2 linked regions of the Mytilus edulis genome follow. The protein of the gene in region 1 purifies or fractionates together with the protein of each later gene. This does not show direct contact. Links are inferred from orthologs where the notes say so. Each region holds a gene or a part of one and is shown in the gene's direction. Other genes may lie near its edges.

Region 1 (11,601 bases):
TGATTATCAAAAAATAACAGAGCAAAAGACACTTGTAGCCTTAATATATAGGGATAGTAGCTCTTGTCACAGATAGAAAACAAGTACTTGTGGCTGTGCACCCCTCCCCCTTTTTTTTTACTTTCTACAGTTATTACTTATTTTTAATTGCATATATCTTCAGAAACAACACAAGTTAATCAAGCAATTTGATAAATAGATTCAAATAACACACATTATGGCTAAAATATCTTGTATCAGTGCAATATATTGACAGTATAAGAAAAAGTATCATATTTCAACACGGTCACGTATAACAGACTTGAAAGAGGCGCCCAACACGGTAACAGCTGTTATTTTCATCAATCAAACTTGTTTTTATCATGGAGAACCTATTTGGTGTAATGTGCAATCATTATTTTACCTTTTTCTTTGTTCTGGAATCTGGATTAAGCTAAATTTCCACTGCAAATTCCTCACTGTTTTCAATTCTCGATTTCGATTCTCACTCGGGGTGCTAAAAAATCTCAGTACATTAGAAGGGTAATTTTCACCCTCTCACACACATCTCTGGTACCCAGACCGGAGTTTAAACTAGAATGGGTACGTTGGGGGCCTCGGTTGGTCAAAGTGTCCCTACTTTGACCTGGAGATCAATCTTCTGATATCTCTCTGGTTTGTCTGTTTCCACCGAGTGGCCCGGTGGTTCTCTCCGAGTACTTCGGCTTCCTCCACCACAATAACAGACTTCCCGGTGTCCTAGCACTCCCTTTGTGTTGAATTGGGTGGGGATTGGTTGTCCTTGTAAAAATAATTGTCGTATAAATATACGTTAGTGACACATCTCCATTAATCCCGTTAGGGAGTGTACATGGATGCCACTGTACACTCGCAGCTTTCGAGGGGTTCTTCGGATATCGGAGGCATTTACCAGTACATACATACAGTATGCTGCGGTAAAACCCGAGTACTGCTGAACGTTACACTAATCAAATCGTGAAAAACGATTATGAAATCCAAGTGATAAATGATGACAAAATTTTAATGATATATTAAACAATAAATATTCATATAAAATACATATATTAGAACATTAAAATTGGATTTGTAATATTTTCTTTGACATCTTGATGCAAATTATGTCTGCGGGGAAAAAAGGGGGAGTTTTTTTTTTTTAAATCGAAAAAATCGTAAATATCTTCTAGTTAAGGTGAATGATCGATACATCCAGGAATACTCATTATGACATACCCCAAAAATTCGTCCCATAAAACCAGATTTTTACAATGTATTCACTACGTTCTTATAATGTCGATACGACGTAACAAAACGTAACAAAATGTTACGTCGGATTATGACAGTTATAAGCACGTTGTCACAACGTAATAAAATGTTACGTCCTGACAAGGTACTAAGTTTACGTGAAGCCGACGTAATTTTATAACGTCGTCTGTACGTCTGCATCCAACGTTGGATTTTTACGTTCCCACAACGTTGGTACGACGTAAACTCACGACATGACGTTCAGACGACCATTAACCGACGTCGGGAGTACGTCGTGTGTTTACTGGGTATACTCTGTAAAATTTAAAGATTACAATGAATTACTTCTTGTTTAGTCTATTAAACTATATATTTGGTTGATAAATATCAGTTCTCTCATTATGCCGTTAGGCTTTTTTATAATCTCACGCTGACTGTGCAGAATATTGGATACCCAAAACTTTTTCTTATAATTAATACGTTTTATGTTATAAAAATACTTGGTTCATATATTTTATAGACATTTTGGGGTTTATTTTATGAAAGAAAAAACCAAGTAATACCTTTTACATAGAAGTCAGTTGCCTGGCAATTAACTATGTTCATTTTGTGTTGTTTTATTAGGAAAACACGGAGTACAAGAACGGAGAAAAGATTTTATGCTTTTGGAAGCAGGACCAGAAGTGGTATGAAGCTGATATCATAGAAAAAAGGAGTAAAGGTGGGTGTTGTCTTCAATACAACCAACTTTTAGCTCTAGACAACAAACAATACATCACCAACAGTATCAATTTACCTTTGATCGATATTCTAAGTAAAAAAAAATATTTAGAAATTAGAATACAAACGGTATTCGTTTAAGGTTGAAAATTATATAAACACTTTTTTCACCTGCATAGCCGTTAAAGTCCAATATCGTATATTATAGAATGAAATTTTCTTTGATTTAGTAACGTTATCAATTAAAAGAATCTAAATAACTTATATAATAATATCATAACTCTAAGGTATATATTTTTTACAGGATACTTTGTTAAATTTGGACTTGATGGAGTAGAGAGAGTTCTCAAGCAAAAGGACATAAAAAAGAGGAAGACTGGAAAAAGATGATACTTTTGCTGTCAAAATCCATATAAAATGTTAATAAACAAAATGTGTATATATTTATTAACTTTTGTTATATGTTTGTATTCCCCTGTTCCGAATGGAGGAGAACATGAGTTTCATTTATTTCAGAAACTTCTCTCAATTAATTTTAAAAATGTGATATCAAGCCGCATTTCATCAATTTATACACTGTCATGCACTTAAAAATTTCAATGCTCCTCAACTTTTCTTACTACTGGTTAATTCTTAATAATAATGGTTCTGTAGGAATTTTTTTGTTGCATTCTTCCCAGAAATCACACATCAAGGTCTTCGAAATTTTTAATGGTGTTTTATGTGAGCCTTATATACATCCATCACTTATCAACTTCCTGTTAACCAAATACATAAAGCTGCCCTTTTTTTCATTTTTTTAGCAGTACTTCAAAGTTCAACTGGTTAAGTTTTAAGACTCGTTAGTGTATTCCATTCTAATCTATGGATCGAAGAAAACAATTAGTAGCTCAACTTCATTAACGCTCAGATGATGTAGTATGATTGTAAATGAGACCAATCTCGCTACAAAAGACCAATTGACACAGAAATTAACAATTATAGGCCACCATACGGTCTTCAAGAATGAACTAGGTCACAAAAAATTTCAAGGAGTCTCTCAAGGTAGAAACCTTTTTAAATGAGTATCGATACTCTCAGATAGAAACCTCTTTAAATGAGTATCGATACTCTCAAAGTAGAAACCTGTTTAAATGAGTATCGATACTCTCAAGATAGAAAACCATTAATAAGAGTATCGATACTCTTAAGGTAGAAAACTGTTTAAAAAGGTATAAAACACTCAAGGTAAAAAAAAAGGAGCTGCTTTAAGAGTATCGATACATCCATGGAAGAAAACTGTTTAAAAAATTATTGGTACTCTCAACGTTGAAAACTGTCGATACTCTCAAAGTAGAAACCCGTTTTTAAGAGTATCGATACTCTCAACATGTTCAACACACTCAATGTAACCTGTTTAAAAGAATATTGATTCTCTTGAGGTAGAAAACAGTTTCAAAGAGTATCGATACTCCGTCAAAAATAAACTTATTTAAAGTGTAGATGTTAAAAAAATGCTTCTAAAATACTACTTCTCATGGACCATAAAACTTTTTTACCGGAATATTCTAAGAATGGAGGTAGACAATGCTTAATTGAGTATCGCTACTCTTGAAAATATATTTGCAAATTTTTTTTATACTCTTTAGCAAAAAGAGCTATAACCTAAGAGTGGCGATACTCTGTGGTATTATACTTGTGACGTATAGTACTAGACAGTACTCTTGAAGTCAAGACATACAGGAACCGGAAATGACAAAGAGCGTCAATACTCTTTAGATAAGACACTTATAAAGAGGAGATGTAAATTAAAGTAATCGTATTTGAGTATCACAACTCTCGTACATATAAAATGATAACTTGATGATTTTGTTTGCATTGATGATAATTTTTGTATTTACATTTCCTGTTGGACCGTGAAATTAGTACTCATTTCTAAATGAAAAAAAATCTAATACACAATGTTTCAGCACTCATTGAGTTGGAAATATCAAAACTTGACCAAAACGGGAATTATTTATTTTCCCTTTTTTATTTTTAACGTGTTATATATAGTTACAGAGCAATTAGTATACAATTAAAATACAGTACAGTATACAATTTCATATTATTCAAACATTTAGATGAATACAATATGATGCATGTTAACGCGGAAATAAACGCCAACAACAACGTTATATGTCTCTGGTCTCACAAACGTCTCTGGATGATTCGTCCCAACTCCGATTCGTATCAACCAATTCGTCCCAAGTAGAATCAGTCACGCCTCAGTCATTACAGCTGAACGGACGTGCTGGATGATCAACGACTTACTACTTTTATAGATGACAGAAACCTATCCAACGCTGTACAGTAAACGTTGTTGTTGGCGTTTATTTCCGCGTTAACATGCACCCCAAAACCCATTGTAGATGGGGGAGTGTTATGCCGATTGACGTGCGAGGGCTGTATCCTAGGTGTTAGATGATTGACCATTATTTCACTGCCCGAGTCACGGCTTTGGTCCTGATAATGCTTCCTGTCATCTTTAATACCAAGTCCAAGACTCATCTACCAGTACTCCATCATCGAGGTTAGCAGGCTGCCAAGCTGACCAGGCCCCGATTTAAAGCAGCCGTTGTGAAGGCAGTAAACAAACCAAAAAGAACTCACCAAAACCAAAATGGTGGTCTTCCAAAATGGCGTCCTCTACCGCCTGTTTCTGACCCACTGCAGAAATTATTCAAACGCTCATCTAACGCCTTGGGCACCGAGCCGACCGTGCGAGGGCTGTATAGCCAGTCAAGGTCGTTAATCACTTCCATCAAGTGCCAAGTTGCTTGGTCAATTTGTTTCCGTGAACCCGGCGGCTTTTAAGGGCATACCAGTTACAGGGGAGAGGTAATGATGACGTTGCAAACGCAAATTGTTATTTTCGCGACGTCAAACTATGAATTATTGGAAAAAGATTCAGTTTTCGACTGATTTTTATCATTCAAACTTATCTAACTTGAAAATGAAAATGTAATTCCATGTCAGATTTGCTCTAAAAGCTTTAGTTATTGAGATATAAGCCAAAAACTGCATTTGACTCCTATGTTTTTAATTTTAGCCATGTTAGCCATGTTTGTCGATGGATCAAAACTTCAGATACAATTTATAAACTAGATACCATAAGGAAAATTTAGTTAAAGTTTGAAGGTATTTGGCACAGTAGGTTCAGAGGAGGACATTTTTTAAATAGTTTATGACGACGACCACAGACGACGGACGCCAAGTGATGGCATTAGCTCGCATGGGGCCCTTTGGGGCACTATTTACATTTTCATAAAAATTGACAAAACTAGCCATTTTGTCTAAGTTGATATTTCATTTTTCAAAGCAGTTAACGCGTATATTTTAACTCATATTTCAATAATTTGCTGCCGGAGGGACACCTATGTCCAAACCGGCAGTGCCGGAGGGACACATATGTCCATGGATAAATTTATGCAAGCTTCTTATCAATGCTGTATCTCTTTCGGCAATTAAAATACAGAAGAATAAACAGGGTCATGTTTTTCTCCAATTGGTCCCAAATGTAGTGGTCATTTTGTCGTGACGTCATATATCGAATGACGTGGTTGTTTGGCATGTTACGTCACAGACGTTGAGCTGTCGTATTTTCCGGCATATGAAATGCAACCTTGAAAAACGGTCGGCAGCAAGAGGGTTAAGGGCATACCAGTTACAGGGAGAGGTAATGATGACGTTGCAAACGCAAATTGTTATTTTCGCGACGTCAAACTATGAATTATTGGAAAAAGATTCAGTGTTCGACTGATTTTTATCATTCAAACTTATCTAACTTGAAAATGAAAATGTAATTCCATGTCAGATTTGCTCTAAAAGCTTTAGTTATTGAGATATAAGCCAAAAAGTTAAACTGCATTTGATCAAAACAAAAGTTAGATACACGAAGAGTACACAATACCAAGATTCTTTTTTTATCAACTACATATCTGGGTCTTTAAGGTATAAAATGCTTCCACACATTACAAAACGGTAGCCATTTTGTCCAAACGTGTGAAAACGTCGAAAAATCCGGAAAACGCTAATTTCCGACGTCACATGTGCTAAAGTGTCAATCAGTTGATGTTTATGATAATTAAAACAAATCGTGTAGTGAAATTTGGAAAAAGATGGTTATGGCTGCCGAAAAATAAGAATAGTGCATGTTGCTAGAGACTCTGGCCAGGGACATATAAATTCGATTACATAAATAGATTACATTTGGCAATTTTTATTAATCGCTTTTATAAAGTTTATTTAAAAGAATGGTAGAATAGAGAAGAAAAAAAATCTCATTACATGAACATCGTTCAACTTTTGCAAAGACAAATTGGAGACACAAAGACAGTCCTCTAAATGTAAAATGCGAATTTCAATTTATGTTGCGGAAGTACTCCGAAATAGATCATTTAAAGTCGTCCCAATTTTCCTTCCTACATTACTTGTGACAGTTTTGAATTTTTAGGTTAAATAACTTAAAGGGTACTGTAATTATTATTAAATCGATTTCCACAACTTGAGGTAAATCACAAAAACAACAGAACCAGAATCAACCAACAACATATAAAAACCCGAAATTGGAATAAAACTTGCAAAAATTAATCGAAGTAAAAAAAAAGTCTTTGACGCCTCATTTTTAGTGTAACGTCGTGTTGTAGGAACATCGTGGATAACGTTTTTACAAATGAAAAGTCATGGAATACTGACGCTCTTTTAACAAACCGGAAAGTTTTCTGGCTTATAACGTACTTGTTTTTATTGTACTTGTGTTTATTCCAATCAAAACAGCATTTAATTTTACCCAATTAAGGGACCGATTCAAAACAATTTTTGTTTATTTCCGGTTTTGGAGCGGGAACACATGTGAGCAGTTAGTTGATGTTAATCAAGTGTTTACAATGACAAGGTGCATATTTGTGATCTTTACTTTGAGTAGTGTATTTATTATTGCTGCCAATTGTACACCAAGTGTGCACTGAAATCGATTGTTGGATCAATATCATTCGTAACCCCCTTTTTATCTAGCCCAGGCCTGTTTTATTTTATTATTCTACTCATAGGCACTTGTTTCCATCAATGGAAAGATCGACTATCTATATATTTATATAAATCCACCTTCCCGTGGATAGAAACAGGTGCCTGTAGACTGTAGTACAACTTACCAGGAACATATATTTTGACCGGATTTGACACAACCAAATAATTTGTATCGGACTTAATTGTCCGGTAATAGTGGAGGGGGGTATCTGCAAGGAAGAATGCGATATAAAATTGCTATTTCACGATGAACGAATAATTAAAAAAATGGCTTGTACATTGATCTTATTACCAATTTCACGAAAACACGGTGAATAACGTACCTTATTCATGGCTGCATGTGAAATGGCAAAACACCTTGCACGAAAATAACCTTTACCACCCTCATAAATGAATGAAGACGTGTGTAAAATACACTATCGCTTAATAATTTCTAATAGGGCTCTTCACAGTTAGTTCAGCCATATTGGATAGGCCATTAGGGGGCAGATTTTTTAGAAAGAGGTGGAAATAGTATGAAAGTATGGGAAATGCTATGCATGTTTCCAAGCAACAGCTCTGTTTTAATGATGTTTTCCCGTATTTTTCACAGTAAATCTGTCAAATGTTGGAATAAGTATAGATTATAACATGCCCTTTTCCATATTGGCCCTGGTATTACCCCATATCAGTCTCCAGGCTTTAGCCGAGGGCCGATATGGGTCGAGGGATGATACCAGGGCAGTGTTCTCCCCTGGTCGTTTTAGCACCGCGATTTTCAGCGCTATCACAATTCCTGCTGTTCTATTGCAAAGACCGCAGCGCTATCCAAAGCAAGCGCAACACTATATATTTTTTTGTAATTTTTTCAAAATTCCCGCTTATTTTTCACTTCGGATCACGTGTCGACTGGTTTACTATTTCTGAGTGAATTATATCCGCTGTATTAAGTAACTCAGCGGGAATAGTCAAATAAATTTACAAAATGGCGTATTTGACAGATCAAAATAAACCAAGATTTCATCAATGACATCTATTGTTTTTATTTAAAGAATATACAGAGGCATTTATGCATGATATATGCATGAAATGAGATGATATAAATTGACCGCATTTCCCCACGACACTCATAAACTTGTTTTACAAACTTTGAACAAACGATGATTTTAAAAACGATCAAACACAGGGGTTTGTTACAATTTGCCAGGCTTACTATCCATACGAACCCCAAAAATGAACAAGTCTTTTGAAGTATTAATTATCACCTATTCGAACTAATAATTGTTCATTCACGATTCTACATTAATGAATTTTACCATTTGAAAACGATCAGAAAAACAAACCCTAAGCTGATACTTTCTCGAGATCCAGCTTGGATGAAGCCATTTGAATAAAACGTTTAGGTCAGAAAAATGAGAAATCATGATGTTAAAAAATGTCAATTCCTGTCAACAGGTCAAACGTCGTAAGGTTGACAGTACTTGTCAGAAAACTGGAGTCACTGCTACAGTGGGTTTCAAAACCAAACACAAGAGGCTGACAATGACTGTATTGTTGGTCCGACATGTTCTGCAACATCACCTGTTAGTGCTTAGAAATCTTCACATAGGCAGTCTGGTATAGACCCATCATGGAAAAAGACTTCTCCTTGGGATTTATGCACAGATAATATGAGGATTATATGAATTTACAATGGAGAAAAAAAACTCTTCTTCTATATTAACAAACAAAGGGGTAACTTCAATGAGCATGATGAGGACATCATTACAAGAGAAAAAAAATCAATGGCATAATATAAGAAAAACAAATAACAAATCAATTACAAACAAACAGCGCGCCGTGACAAAGTTACTGAGAATTGTCGAAAATTACGCACTTACCACAGCGCTATCCAAAAATCTTGGGAAGAACACTGACCAGGGCCAATATGGAAAAGACATGTTATAATATAAATCACATATTTAAGTTTTGCAGAAAAGAGAAAAAAATATTAATTATAACAATTTAATGAAACAACAGGTAAATCTTCTTTTTTTTTTTTTTTTTATCACAGAAGCAATTAAAAAGTCGTTAAGGATGCAATGACGTTATGTCATTTGGAATCAGGGCACAATAACCAATATACTCTTTTTTTGCCCTCAGCAATTTTGAGGTTATTATATCAGTGATATTGTTAGCCTCAAATTACCCCCGATATTCGCTTTTTCCCCTAGAGAAATTCCCAATTACAAAATAAAATGGCTTAAAATTCCTCCCAATAAGTTGTACATTTTTCCCAAACAGTGATGGCATCGGTAGTAATGATATGTAAATTTCGTATTCATGTTATTATTTTGATATAATGAAAACGTTTTTGAGATCAGGGATTCTGATTTGAATCATCGGGATGTTTGTAACATGCATGGTTTCAATGTATTAAATACTGTCATTGTATTTGTTTCTTTCCCCTCCCCCAAATGTTCTTTCCGGTTAAATATGTCTAAAAATTTCCCAATTTCCCCAAAAAACGATGCACTTCTCCCCCCCCCCCCCCCCCCCAAAAAAAAGGTAGGTTTGAAAAAAGACAACAATATCACTGTATATATGCAAAACCCAACATACAATGTATTTGTAACAAATATGTGATAATACAATTTACAAAATCATTAAACAGGTTGGGGACAACTAGACAAATTGGAAAAACCTGTTAAATTGAATTCAGCACCATTTCCCTGGTCATCTAAGAAAGATAGTACATCAGTGGTCTCGCTAGCCCAAAATAGAAGGGCGCCGTGCCCTGGGTGCCTTCATCCGTGCCCTTCTGCCCTGACGTCTTTTTCCAAAATTATCTTGTGCCGTTTTGGTAAAATTTTGTTTCATCGATTTCTGATCTCCAAGTTAATTACATATATGACACCTGTGTGATTGCCCCCAGGTTAATCATGTCATTACACTCAATTACAATGATAAAGACTTCAAAGGTGTTAATAACTAGGTAATTTAATTAGGACAATGTATCTTTTTGTCATACTTTTGATGAATGTGTCAGCGAGTGTGTTTAGCTTGGGTCGGCATTTTCGATCTCCAAGTCACAATGGAAGAGCATATATAAGTGAAGACTTTCCTGACTTTAGAATTGAATTTAAGTCAGCAAAATAAAACTATGCCTTTACAGAAATGCCTTCCATCTCAACTTGTTAGCGACAAGCACAGTTTTTAGTTAACCCAAACGTGGTGGAAATTGATTTTGGAGTTACTTCCCCTGTTTTAGCTTATTACAAATTTGTGCTCTTAAAATATTATCTAGTATCAAAAATAGGAATAAATTACCAATTGAATATATAATAACATAATAATGTTACCTTAAAGATATTAACTGTCTTTGAACATATTAAAAAATATATATTGCAATTTCTACTTGATAATTATACTTTTAGCAATCCATGTTCTAAACATTGTTAAATTAGTAATGCTCTCAGTTACAGATCATACAGACCGTGCAAGGGCTGTATAGCCAGTCAAGGTCGTTAAAAACTTCCATTTGTTGTTACAGATCATATGATGCATTAAAAGCTATAATTCCTATAAAGAAAAAAAAACCCACATATTCTTTGATAATGGGTAGAGTGAAGTTAAACTGTAAAAACATAATATGTTGATGAAGATGTCATGGATGTAATATATCATTCATAACTACACAAACAATGAAATAAAGACTATAGTTGAAAAGCATCTTTATTTAAAAAAAACAACATATACAGTAAAAAAAAAAAAGAGATTCGTTAACTCGTGATACACACAGAAATGTAGACAAAAAAATGAGCAGTGCCTTTTCTTATCATAAAAAGTGCCCTGCCCTCCACTGGCACCCTGCCCCTTTTGATTTCTAGCTAGAGCACTGGTACATGTATGTGACTTTTTATGATACATGTATGATGCAGCTGAGGTTATATAAGTTGATTATGTCTATTCTTTTCAGAGGTCATACAGAACTAGGGGACATAACTCCTCATAACATCAAGCAGCTAAAGTTGTTGAATCAAGTGGTGTTCCCTGTGACTTACAATGATAAGTTCTATAAAGATGTATTAGAAGTTGGAGAGCTAGCAAAACTTGGTATGTTTATAACAGTAGAATAACAATGATACATGTATATATAGATTCTACCACTGCATCGAGTGTGATACAATATTCATCCACTCAAGACAGTTAAATTTTCAAATTTTAAATGTAAGGCTTGTCAAGTGTTTTAACATGTTTAAATATTTAAAATTTAACTGTCGAGAGTGGATAAATATCGTATTACAAAGAGAATTGGTGGTGGAATCTGTTTCTCTAATGATTTTCTAACAATATGCAGGCAAACTAATTCCTTCTTTTCAAATAATCTGCAAAAAGTTGTGTTCTTTTAGTGTGACATAATCAGGCATGGTCGCCTCTTTTCATGCTGTCACAATAGTAAATTCAGAGGAAAGCAAGAAAATTCAATGTCATAATCAGATTTAAACTAATGAACATGATGAAGTACTGAGATCAAACAAACTGCACGTTGATTAATTTTTTTTAAACAATGGGGATCAATGACACAGAAATAAACCACTGCCATGACTGTAGGTCACTGCAATGTCTTAAACA
Region 2 (11,096 bases), on another chromosome or scaffold:
TTACTTCTTTCTTATCAACCAGGATAAAAAATACTAAAAAGGAATTGGCGGACTCACTTCCCTTCTCAATGCCCACTTGTTATGTTCATGCTAGAATAGAATACAGTGCTTAATTTTCACATTATAAAAACAAATTTACATGATACATGTAATGCAAAACACAGGAAAAGAAGTGTTCACACTTGAACACTTTAACAGGCAAATTAAAAATAAACATTACAATGTTCTTACACATGTTACATTGTCATCAACAGTTAGTTCAAATATATGCAATATATAGAAATATATAGAAAAGTTAATGTGGGGTATACAGCAATGACAGACTAACCCAACATGACACACATAATCAAAGGGCTTGTGAGCTCTGAAGGATAAAGATTACATTCATTTTGTATTGGGAAGTTATACTCAACATTGGCAGGCAATGAATTGTCCAACTAAAATTATGGACAAAGGAAGATAACTCCAATTTTAAATACTACATTATGCACCATGCACAATATAAGTATTTTTTTTATGAGTATGGTTCAACTCAATCACATATTTTTTTAACTTGAATATCAGATTATATATTTTATTTGGTTGATTTAAATGTTTTTTGGGAATGATGTTAAACGAATGTAGGACAGAAAGTCACAGGACAACAAGTCACAGACAAAAAGTCACAGGACAAAAAGTCAATTCATTTTTTCTAATTATTTTCTTTGAGTAAAAAACGCTTATTTTCTACAAAAATATTTTTGTATTTTTCTTGAACTATTGTATACAAACCAACTTTGTAAACAAAATTTATCAAATAATATCAAAATTGATCAAATAATTGTTAAAAAAACAAAATGTCAAAGTGGCTTGGCAGTTAATCAATCGGCTTCATGGTGCCAAGAAAGGGCAGAATCAATTTGCGCCAATTGCAGTTTTGAAAAGGTATTAATTGTGCCACTCTCTTTTATTTTGATGGTATTAATTGCGCCAATAAATGAAATGGAATTGCGCCACATTTACCTGTTAATATGTTTTACCTAAATCAAGACAAGACAAGACAAATACTTTATTAAAGTCTCGCCACTTGTTACATATAAAATATACAGCTTTTTAAAATACAAGTTAACAAGAGCCACTCTATAAAGAGTTTTGAGAGACTATAAAACAATTTTTCTTAAAATTATAATGCAAATACAAGTCAACTGTCACGAGTATAAAATACATTTTCGCTTTATTCAAATTTCATAGCAGGTTTTGGCAGTATAAAATACCATATTTTCATTTTTAAAAAGAAATATAATTTTTTCATTATCAGTGTCCAGAAATCAGAACGTCAATTTTTCAGAACTGCGTGTAAAAGAAAAGCAACCAATGTGTTGTCAGAGCCACCTTCAAAAATAATAAATTCAGAGATCTTCAAAATTGAAGAAGAGAATTTAGAAAAGAAAGATTTAAAATATGTGTGTCAGTCTGTGTATAGAGAGAGAAGAAAACTGCGTCCGGCTTAATCTAAAAATCGAGCAGAATTTCACAGAATATTGGATGATATTGGTATTGTTACAAACAAAGATGATGAGTTTGTATTGTGTAACGATCCAGCAAGCGGTATAATTTTATAAGGATGCAAGGCTAATTTGAAATTTCAGTGTACAATGTCAGAGGAATTTTTTGCTGTTGGTACCTAGTCAATAATTTAGTTGTTATATATAAATAAAAAAATATAAAATTGGCGCAATTAGATGATTATTTTATTGGCGCAAATGATACCTATAGTTTTGAAAATTAGGTGGCGCAAAAGAGGTATTGGCGCAATTAAGTTGTGGCGCAAATGAGTTACTTTTTGGCGCAAAAAGATATCGCCCCCAAGAAATATATCCTTTGCATGATTAGAATTATATAAATCTTCATTTTTCAAGTATAATGACATATTTCCTAAACATTAATATGAATATATGTATTAAAAAGTAAATAGTTCAAGATATTTCTCTTATATATTAAAACAATTGTCAACATACTATTTGTGACTTTTTGTCCTGCGACTTTTTGTCCTATCAAAACTGTGACTTTCTGTCTGTTTACCATGTTAAACACCCCTAGTAGTGGAAAGAACATGTTGTGCTCAATGCACTATGTTTTGTTAATGTCAAAATAGTGATTAAGTCTGGAAAATTCATTTAGTGTTTTTGATTGTATGAATATAATCTTTACCTTCAAAATAAAGCATGTCTATATTTCAAAATATATATGTATATGTGTAAATGTGACCTTTAGCATTTTAGTTATTTTTTAGACGGTTTTCGTAAAAAACGAAAGTGGCCACATTCGTGTTCATCCTTAATATTGAAATGTAAGTTGTATTTGATGATAGTACATAACATATATAAAGGTTGAGGATGAACACGGATGTGGCCACTTTCATTTTTGACAAAAACCATCTGAAAAGTGACATTTTTTGGCATATTTGGTAGATTTTTCATATTTGAGCTAGAATCGAATCATTTTTAATGAATAAATCAGTTAAAATCTTTCACATAAACTAATTGAATCAAATGAAATGGCCACTTAAGTGTTTGAAAAGTGGTCAAAATCTTTCGTCAGATGAACCTGAAATTTGAGCCAAAATCGGTTCTTACCGGACCTATTCCTTTATATAAAGAAACTATGACTTGCAGTTGTTGAGAAAAATGATGAAAATTTCAAATATGTGCATCACATTATAAAGATATAAAAACAGGTATTCAAGTACATAATTTTTCAGCATCTATTTTTTTTTTTAATAGTAAAATACAAACCTTATTCTTAAAACTTAATTTATTTTGCCACAAAAATCTGTGTTCTACAAAAATCGGGTACTTAAAATCTACACTGTGTTGAACGCCACATGCGGGGTGTTGGCTATGCTTGATGCAGGGTGGCAGTTTTGAAGCAAAGAAAAAGGATCAAGGCAAGTTCAAGTATAAAAGTTTCTTTTTTGAAAATTCTTAGTAACAAATAATGTATTACATGGAAGGAACCCAACCAAGCAAGAAGCAGACGTTTATAGTGCTCTGGTTTCTCAAACATCTCTCCCTAGTTTTACGTGTTGCGGATTTTTCGGCTTCATTTGCAAGTTTCTTGATAAAAAAGTACTATTGACGAATTTTTCCGGTATAATTTGTATAGAAATGAATTCCTATCAAGGTGAAATCTATAAAACTCATAAAGAAAACCCAAAATGTGATTTTATTTTTGTCTTTGGAATGTTAAACATAATCGAAGAGAAGATACATTTACTCCTTCGTTTAACTGTAATGGGTAATTGTATTAATATAAAGTAAATACAATAAACATGTTATGCATGATTGAACATATGACAAAAATTAAACGAAATGTTGATAGTCTATCAAAATACAACACTAGAAAAAATATATCTTCTTTCCAGTGTGAAGACTAGAGAAATACTTTGTAGAACTAAAGTGGTCAGATTTCTTAAACATTAGTTCAATAACAAAACATAAGGGTATTCAAACTGCAGTGAAACAATCTATACTATACATTGATGAAAAAGAAAACAACTTAAAATACCAACATATCTTTTAAAATACCTATATTTATCAGAGATCAACTTTCCTTCATATGTATCAAAGGGAAGACAACTGTAATTTTCTGGATTTTTTCCTGAAGGCTGATCTGAAGGTAGACAAGTAAGTAACTCTTCAAATCTTTCAGTTTGAAAGTGAGTACCGGTAAAGAAGTTGATAGGTATAAAGATGGGGTTTGTCCATATATATGTCACGCTTTAAATGCCTTTCATCAACAATGATTTTTATTGATATTGTCCAAGTTTAAAAAAAATTTCAATAAAGAAAAACAGTCTATAAATATAAAGCAATCCCATCATTTTATGTTGTCAATAATATAATAAATAATTAAATGATCACTAAAACAACTGACTTTAACAAAAACATTGATCTTTTTCACTGGCCTTCTTATCCTGTAGCGAGATAACTTGAACATTACTTGGTAAATTTGTTGGAGCAATGAAAGGTGTCATCATGGGTTTGGAGTTTTTCAGCTTATGAGCCAGTGTCATAAAGATGGCTTCAACATGATTGGCCTTTTCATCATCCTTTGCAGAAGTTTCAAATAAAGGCATACTATGCGAGTCTGCAAATTTCTGAGCTAAATTTGTATTTATAGCAACCTTAGCCGTCATATCACACTTGTTACCCACTAGAATTCTCGGTATTTCCTGATTCAGGTTATGACGATCACATTCTTCTATCCAAGATGGCATACTCTCAAATGAACTCATTTTTGTGACATCATAAACAAAGACAACAGCATGGACATTTCTGTAATAGTGTTGTACCATAGATTTACGGAATCTTTCTTGACCAGCCGTATCCCAAAGTTGTAGCTAAAATAACAAAGAAAGTATTTAAAACATACAATGTAAAATCTTGTTTTTATAAAATGGCACAGATTTAATTCAGAGTTAAAATAAAGGTTATGTCAATTATAGACAAAAGCCCCAACAAGGAGTAAATTGACCGTTTTCACTACTTAATTTTTTTGTCAGGTGTGGATCCAGCATTTGATAAAAAAGGGAGACCTGGAAGACAAACATTTGGTGTGAATCTTGTAATCAAAGTTCTTGTTAGCACTGAACGGTAAAGATTGCTTCAATTTTTATCAGTGAGAAGTAAAATTAATTATTGCATTGGTTGTAGTTGATTTAACAGCAAAACTGAACAAAGGAAGATAACTTCATTTTTTTTTAACAATGACATCATTCTATATTTAGAACAGATATTAGATTCCTGGGGTCGATTTCACAAAGAAACTCACGATTAAGATTGGTCGTAAGTATACTGATTTATTCATGACTTAAGACCAATCTTAGTCTTAAGTTTTTTTTGTGAAACTGACTCCAGCACCTTGCAAAAGTAATTTTCTTCTTAGGTTGCCGAGTTATGTTACCTGATGTCAGTTAAATGGGGAATATTGGCTGCCATTTAGCACAAATTAACTTGCCTTTTATCCCTCATTTATATTAACCATATATGCTAAATGAATGATAGTGTTCTATTTCTGAACACAGAAATCTTTTCAAAAAAATGTTGTCATAAGCAAAAAATATCTTAGATTTCAAATTCTCCAAGATACTGGAAGGGACCAGTTAATCATCCCTTTGGAATCTAAATGTCTATGGGAAGTTTTATTGTTTGTATCCAAAATTGTAAATATTAGTCACATCATTGACATTAGTTAACATATCAAATATCCATTGTTTATGGCATTTTAAACCAATCACAATGTTTTGGTGTAGACTTTTTGAAAATATTACCAAAAAGACATTAGATTCTGAAACAGCGAAATTATAGGTAACTGAACTTGAAGGATATGTCATTTCTCATTTATTGTTATTTACTTTAATTTGTTCCTTGTCAACTTCTACCATTCGCTCTCTAAAGTCAACACCAATAGTTGCTTCTGTTTTATCTGGAAATTTTCCACAGCAAAATCTGTATGTCAAACATGTTTTACCAACATTAGAGTCTCCTATAACAATGATTTTGAAAATTCTCTTTTGTGCTTGTTTTTCAATAACTGTAACAGATGATTCAAATTGTTCTTCGTGTGTATTGTCAACAGCCTTAGAGTTTGATAATGGTTCCATCATGTTGCAATGGTTATTTAATCATGTGTGTAACATATTATATATATTGGAAAATTGTATATTTCATTGTTTTGTTACTGTTTTCCTTAATTTTTGACACATTCCAATTATTCGTCGTAGCTTCTTCAATGTCAAATAAAAGCTTGAAAATTGTATTGAATATTCCTTAACAAAAGCGTTTTACTGATTTTTACGATATCATTTTCCATGCTCCTTTCCTTTTAAAATATTTGACATTAGAGACTAATTTATTTCTAAAATTTGACTTAATATAACATTTTAGTACATTATTTTCTTCTATTCAAGCATCGAAATCTCAATAACGAAACAGCGAGAACACCGGAAATATTGCTTCCTCCATGTTGGATAGCATCCTCGTGGTTGTGTATCCTGTTTCCTATGGAAATAGCTGGTTATAAAGCAAACACAGAACCCTAGAGCAAAATGCCCACTAACAATCCACTACCTCCTAAAGAAAATGCCCTTTTTAAAAGAATATTGGTGAGTGAGTTTGCACATTTCACAAAAAGGGGGGAAGTTACCAAGGCCAAGGGGCCAATCAAGAAATTTAAGAATGTGATATTTAAAGAAAGACAAATATTTCTCTGACATTAGAATAAAACCTCAACAGACTAACCTAAGTTTGAGCATCAGGAATTCCCTTAAAAAACTTGAGGGGAACTGGTGTTGTTGCTTACTTGTCTAGTTTTTTAACAGGTTTTGTTCCATCACAGGTCATCTTGCTACACAAGTGTTGCTCATGGCAAGTTGTAATTCAGGGATTGAAGAGCCCCTGCTAAATATCCCATGCAATTTTTTTGTGCATTATGATTTTGCATGTTTATGATGCCAGGAATATTTTGAACAAGGATTGAAAAAAGATGTAGACCGTAACAATGTATGAAGAATGATTAATCTATATAGAGGGACTCATTATGTAGAAATCCATGATATCTCTGCCTATATAAAAATCGGACTATAACAAAATCAAAATTCAATGGAACATGTTGCCACAAGTTGTGGTAGCAAGTCAAATATAAAATTGAGAAAGTCAAACCATTGAAATTTACAGAGATCAGTTGACACCAACTGTTCTCCACAACATAATTTAATTCTATAAATAACAATGTACATATTTTTTAATCACTTGTTGTTTTCTTTCATGTAAATATCACCAAGTATTCTACTATAAAGTTAAAGATAAATTTTTGTTCATATTTTTTAATCATATACTCCGCGCATGCAACAGTTCGTAATCTTCAATAATAATGAAGCTGAAACTGTATATCAGAAGAAGAAGAAGAGACTATAACAAGCTTGGCCTATAAGATAATCGGCCTCCCAAAATCAGACTATAACCAACTCGGACTACTAGCTAGAAGAAAATAAGTATAATGTTGGTTGTTGTTATTGGAAATTAATTCTCAATTCTTAATTTAAAATGAATTGTTATCTACAATTAATTAAATAATATTATATGCATATGTTAATTAATTATGACATCATGTCACATGTATCGTTGACACCTTTTTAATCACCATCATTTAAACAAACAACTGGCACATGTACTGTTGACACCTATCTAATCACCCAAGTCAGGACAAAACTACCTGTTGTTGCACGAAATTGAAAACTATAAATCCAACTTAATATGTCTTGTATTGTCTATAACTGAACTTCAGTTTTTTTTATTACATAACTTGTGTTATATTAAGACAATTTAGTGAATTTTAGTTTTTCTGGTTTCTGATCATATTTTGTATGGTGGACTCTTGGTGTGATTTATCTGTACAATGTAATACTATTTAATGAAGAACACATAGGGTTTACAAATATTATTTCAGTAGATGTCGACAAACAATTAACATAACAATGATTTCGTCATTCAACAATATCTAATATTACTTACAAAAAATATAAGGCATATATAAAACACATACATGACATAAAGCACATTTTAAACTCAAAAGGCATTTTGTCATCATCTAAGACTGAAAGCATGCAGATATAATTGGTCATTGTCAAAGCACACTTTAAGCATACATAGCACATTTAAAACACTAACATAGCACATACAAAACATACATATAGCACATCTGAGTCATATCTAAGATAACATGAAAAATGAATGTTGTTAAGGCAAAAGCACGAGTATAAACATAGGCTGGAGTATTTAACAGCTAGTCATTTGGATTTTTTTTTCATGTTATTTTATAGAAGTATTAATTGGTAAGATCAAAGAAATCTCTTGTTTTTTTTCAATTTTACTCCAAATATATTTCTAGATACATGTGACACTTTAATAAACAAATTTATATACATGTATAATAAATGTTTGCCTCAGCTTGCCTTTCTAAAAACATTGTATCTGTTTGATGTGACCATTTGAATATAATTACCTTTCAATTGCTGAATCCATTAGTAAAGAACTACAGATTAGTGAAATTGTTAAGAAGCCATTCACTGTCAATCAAATTTCTCTTTGTTTATATACTAATCATAAACACCTAGGATTAAACACAATAAAAACATGAACACACACCAATCATTAAAATATCTTTTGTCAATAATCATAATAAATCACAATGATATTTCCAATAGAAGTTAATTGTCCTCATTTAAACACCAATTCAACTCGTATATTAAATATTTTATACATTTCTATATATATGGTCTTTTTTTTCAAAAATATTCTTTACAATCTCATAAATTCGTCTATAATTTTAATATATAAAGGTTTTTTTTATTAAAGTAAAAAAATAACAATCTACTAATCGTAGTCTGAGTTTGTTCAATATATTTCTGCATATAAATAATGGTAGGCCGAGTTTGTTATAGTCCCGAGTTTGTTATGGGCCGATTTTGTTTCAGTCCGAGTTATCCAGCAGCGATTATGTAGATGGGAATCTTCATACACTGGAACAGGTCTGGAAATCCATTAATTAAATTTTTTTTTCAGTTCATTTTTTTTCTTTATTATTACATCAAAACGGCCACTTTAATACAATATATATTTAAGTACTAAAGGAGAAACTACATTAGTGATTATAATTTTACAAGTTACCAAGTCATCACATCAAATATTGAAGATTATCATTAATTAGTCTAATATACCCCTATTCACTTGCTACCTGAGGTCTTCAAGATAAATGATTGTGATATGTTAGTTTTATTTATATTGTATATTTTCTGTAATGACATTAGGGATTCGGTGTCAGAAGAAAGTTTCTGATTTTGCTGAACAATGAAAATTGTATATGTACATGTGAGTGCACTAAAAAGACCGAACTAACAGATACCAGTTATTTTTATGGGGAATTTTACTGAAAATCAAAGGTGCCATATATAAACTCCTCCCTGGAGTTTCTTTAAAGGGAAGGCAGATGTCTAGGGCAACATAATTGTTAGCCTTCGTAGATTTTACTGTAAATTAACTACCTTTCGTGGATACTTTAATTTGCGTTTAGCCTTTACTTGACCATTTTGTGGCATTAATACTACCTTATAAATTGCTCTAAAAAATTAGCTGGTTAACATCTGACATCCGTTGGAAGACACTTATTTTATTATGGCTACTGCCTGGTATAAGGACACTAAATTTTAAAACATCACAAGATACATATTCTCACATGTTTCCTTACCTGTAAATATACAATACAGACAGGATTCTACTTCGTCTAAATTATCTTCCTATTACACCAGTTCATTTTCACAATCGTAGAAACGGAAGACAATTTTTTTTTTCAGAGATCCAACTTAAAGACTGTCGTCAAGCACTTTTAGTAAAATAGCTATTCGAACACACCTACTCTGATTTTGTGATCCATTGGATAGGTATTTCACTTGACCCTATATTTCATCTTTTAGTACTGTGATTTTTTTTTATGTTATAAAGTCAACCTGTAGCTTTGCTATATAAAATGATAGCGAGATGGTGCATCAAATACTCTTGTTTTGTACATTTTCAAGACAAAATATTCATCTCAAACACACCCTAACATAAAAAAAAGGTGCACTCGATTTTCTCTTTTCGATACAATTGTTTCCCATTTTGGAATATTTTCTTGAGTTGCATAATCGAAGGAAAGGCATGGAAATTACTGACTGAACTAATAGATTGATATGTTATAAAAACAATATTAGGTCAATTAATGTTGAAGGCCAGTTTCTCAGCCTCATACAAGAAAAAAGTTTATATTTTTCTTTCATTGACAAATTATTGTATTTTTACAGGTGAGAAAACATGTGAGAATATTTGTCATGTGATGTTCTAAAATTAAGTGTCCTTAACCTCAGACATAACGTCCAATACAATCTAAGTATGATGTATACAAGCTGAAGCCCCACCTATCTTAATTACCATGCTTGAGCAAACACTGATACAAACAAAGCAAGCAAGCCAAACAAAGATTTGTCTTGCTAGCATTAATGTAAAAGCTGTAAAAGTAGGACTTGACTGGCAATAGTGGGTCCTAGAATCTTGGTTAAGATTTTCTGAATTGTTAGACAGGCCTTTTGTTTTGTACATTAATTTGGCGGTTAGTTTTCTTGTCAGAATAATTTCACCTTTGTGATTTGAGGTCCTTTTATAGCTTACTATGCAGTTTGGGCTTTGCTCATTGATTAAGATTATACAGCAGGTTCCTTGAAATCTTTTTTTCCCTGTTAGTCCTTGAAGAAAAACTGTTCGACCTCACTACTATTTCTATTACAAAATACCAAAATTGTGTCGGTCTTTTTCAAATTTTGGTGGTCAAATCCTCGGACCACACTTTTTTGAGAACTCTGGTCTGGTGAAATACAGCTGTTAATCTCTTTGTGACTATGTCATTTGGTGTTTTGTTGAGAAGTGTTTCACTGGCAATCATACCACATCTTTTTTCTTAAACTTTTAAAAGATATATTGAGAACTATTCAGATTAGCTGAAAATAAATTAAATTCATTATAATCCATAATATTGTTTTGTTTTTTTGTAGAAATGTTATGAACAGAAACAGTACAAAAATGGGTTGAAGTTTGCTAAACAGATTTTAAGCAATCCTAAATTTAATGAACATGGAGGTAATATATTTGTAGTGTATTAAATGAAGTGTCTGATATCACATATAATATTTTGCTATGCCCCACCCTCAAACAGTGTCCTATGAAAAATAGGATTAGTCTGGTGTCTTTGTCATTTAGATGGGGACTAGGTTGTAAGCTGTCATCCCCAACAGGTCCCTTTTGGTCAATATATAGATTTTAGAAAATAACAATAATGAGAATTAATCATCTTGAATATTTTGCTTGAGGGATACCATTAACCTCTTTCACTGAAAAATATTTAAATTGATATAAAGATTTTATGATATGATAAGGAATTACATATTTTCATTCCAGAAACTTTGGCCATGAAAGGACTGACTCTTAATTGCCTTGGGAGGAAAGAAGAAGCATTAGACCATGTAAAGA

What was found.
Region 2: the proteins of N-alpha-acetyltransferase 50-like (region 1) and N-alpha-acetyltransferase 15, NatA auxiliary subunit-like purify together in Drosophila melanogaster (affinity purification with mass spectrometry, with the first as the bait; 3 studies listed by BioGRID). This does not show direct contact. The link is inferred for Mytilus edulis from reciprocal best matches to the Drosophila melanogaster genes san and Naa15-16.

The regions. Positions count from the first base shown.
Region 1 is NC_092348.1:77,360,297-77,371,897, forward strand, and holds the start of N-alpha-acetyltransferase 50-like, read left to right. Parts: upstream 1-6,771; 5' UTR 6,772-6,869; coding exon 6,870-6,877; intron 6,878-10,945; coding exon 10,946-11,082; intron 11,083-11,601. UniProt on the Drosophila melanogaster protein: N-alpha-acetyltransferase that acetylates the N-terminus of proteins that retain their initiating methionine. Has a broad substrate specificity: able to acetylate the initiator methionine of most peptides.
Region 2 is NC_092351.1:26,354,334-26,365,429, forward strand, and holds the start of N-alpha-acetyltransferase 15, NatA auxiliary subunit-like, read left to right. Parts: upstream 1-5,826; 5' UTR 5,827-6,088; coding exon 6,089-6,145; intron 6,146-10,621; coding exon 10,622-10,706; intron 10,707-11,024; coding exon 11,025-11,096. Other genes in the region: ras-related protein Rab-33B-like, read right to left, coding at 3,917-4,381, 5,396-5,647.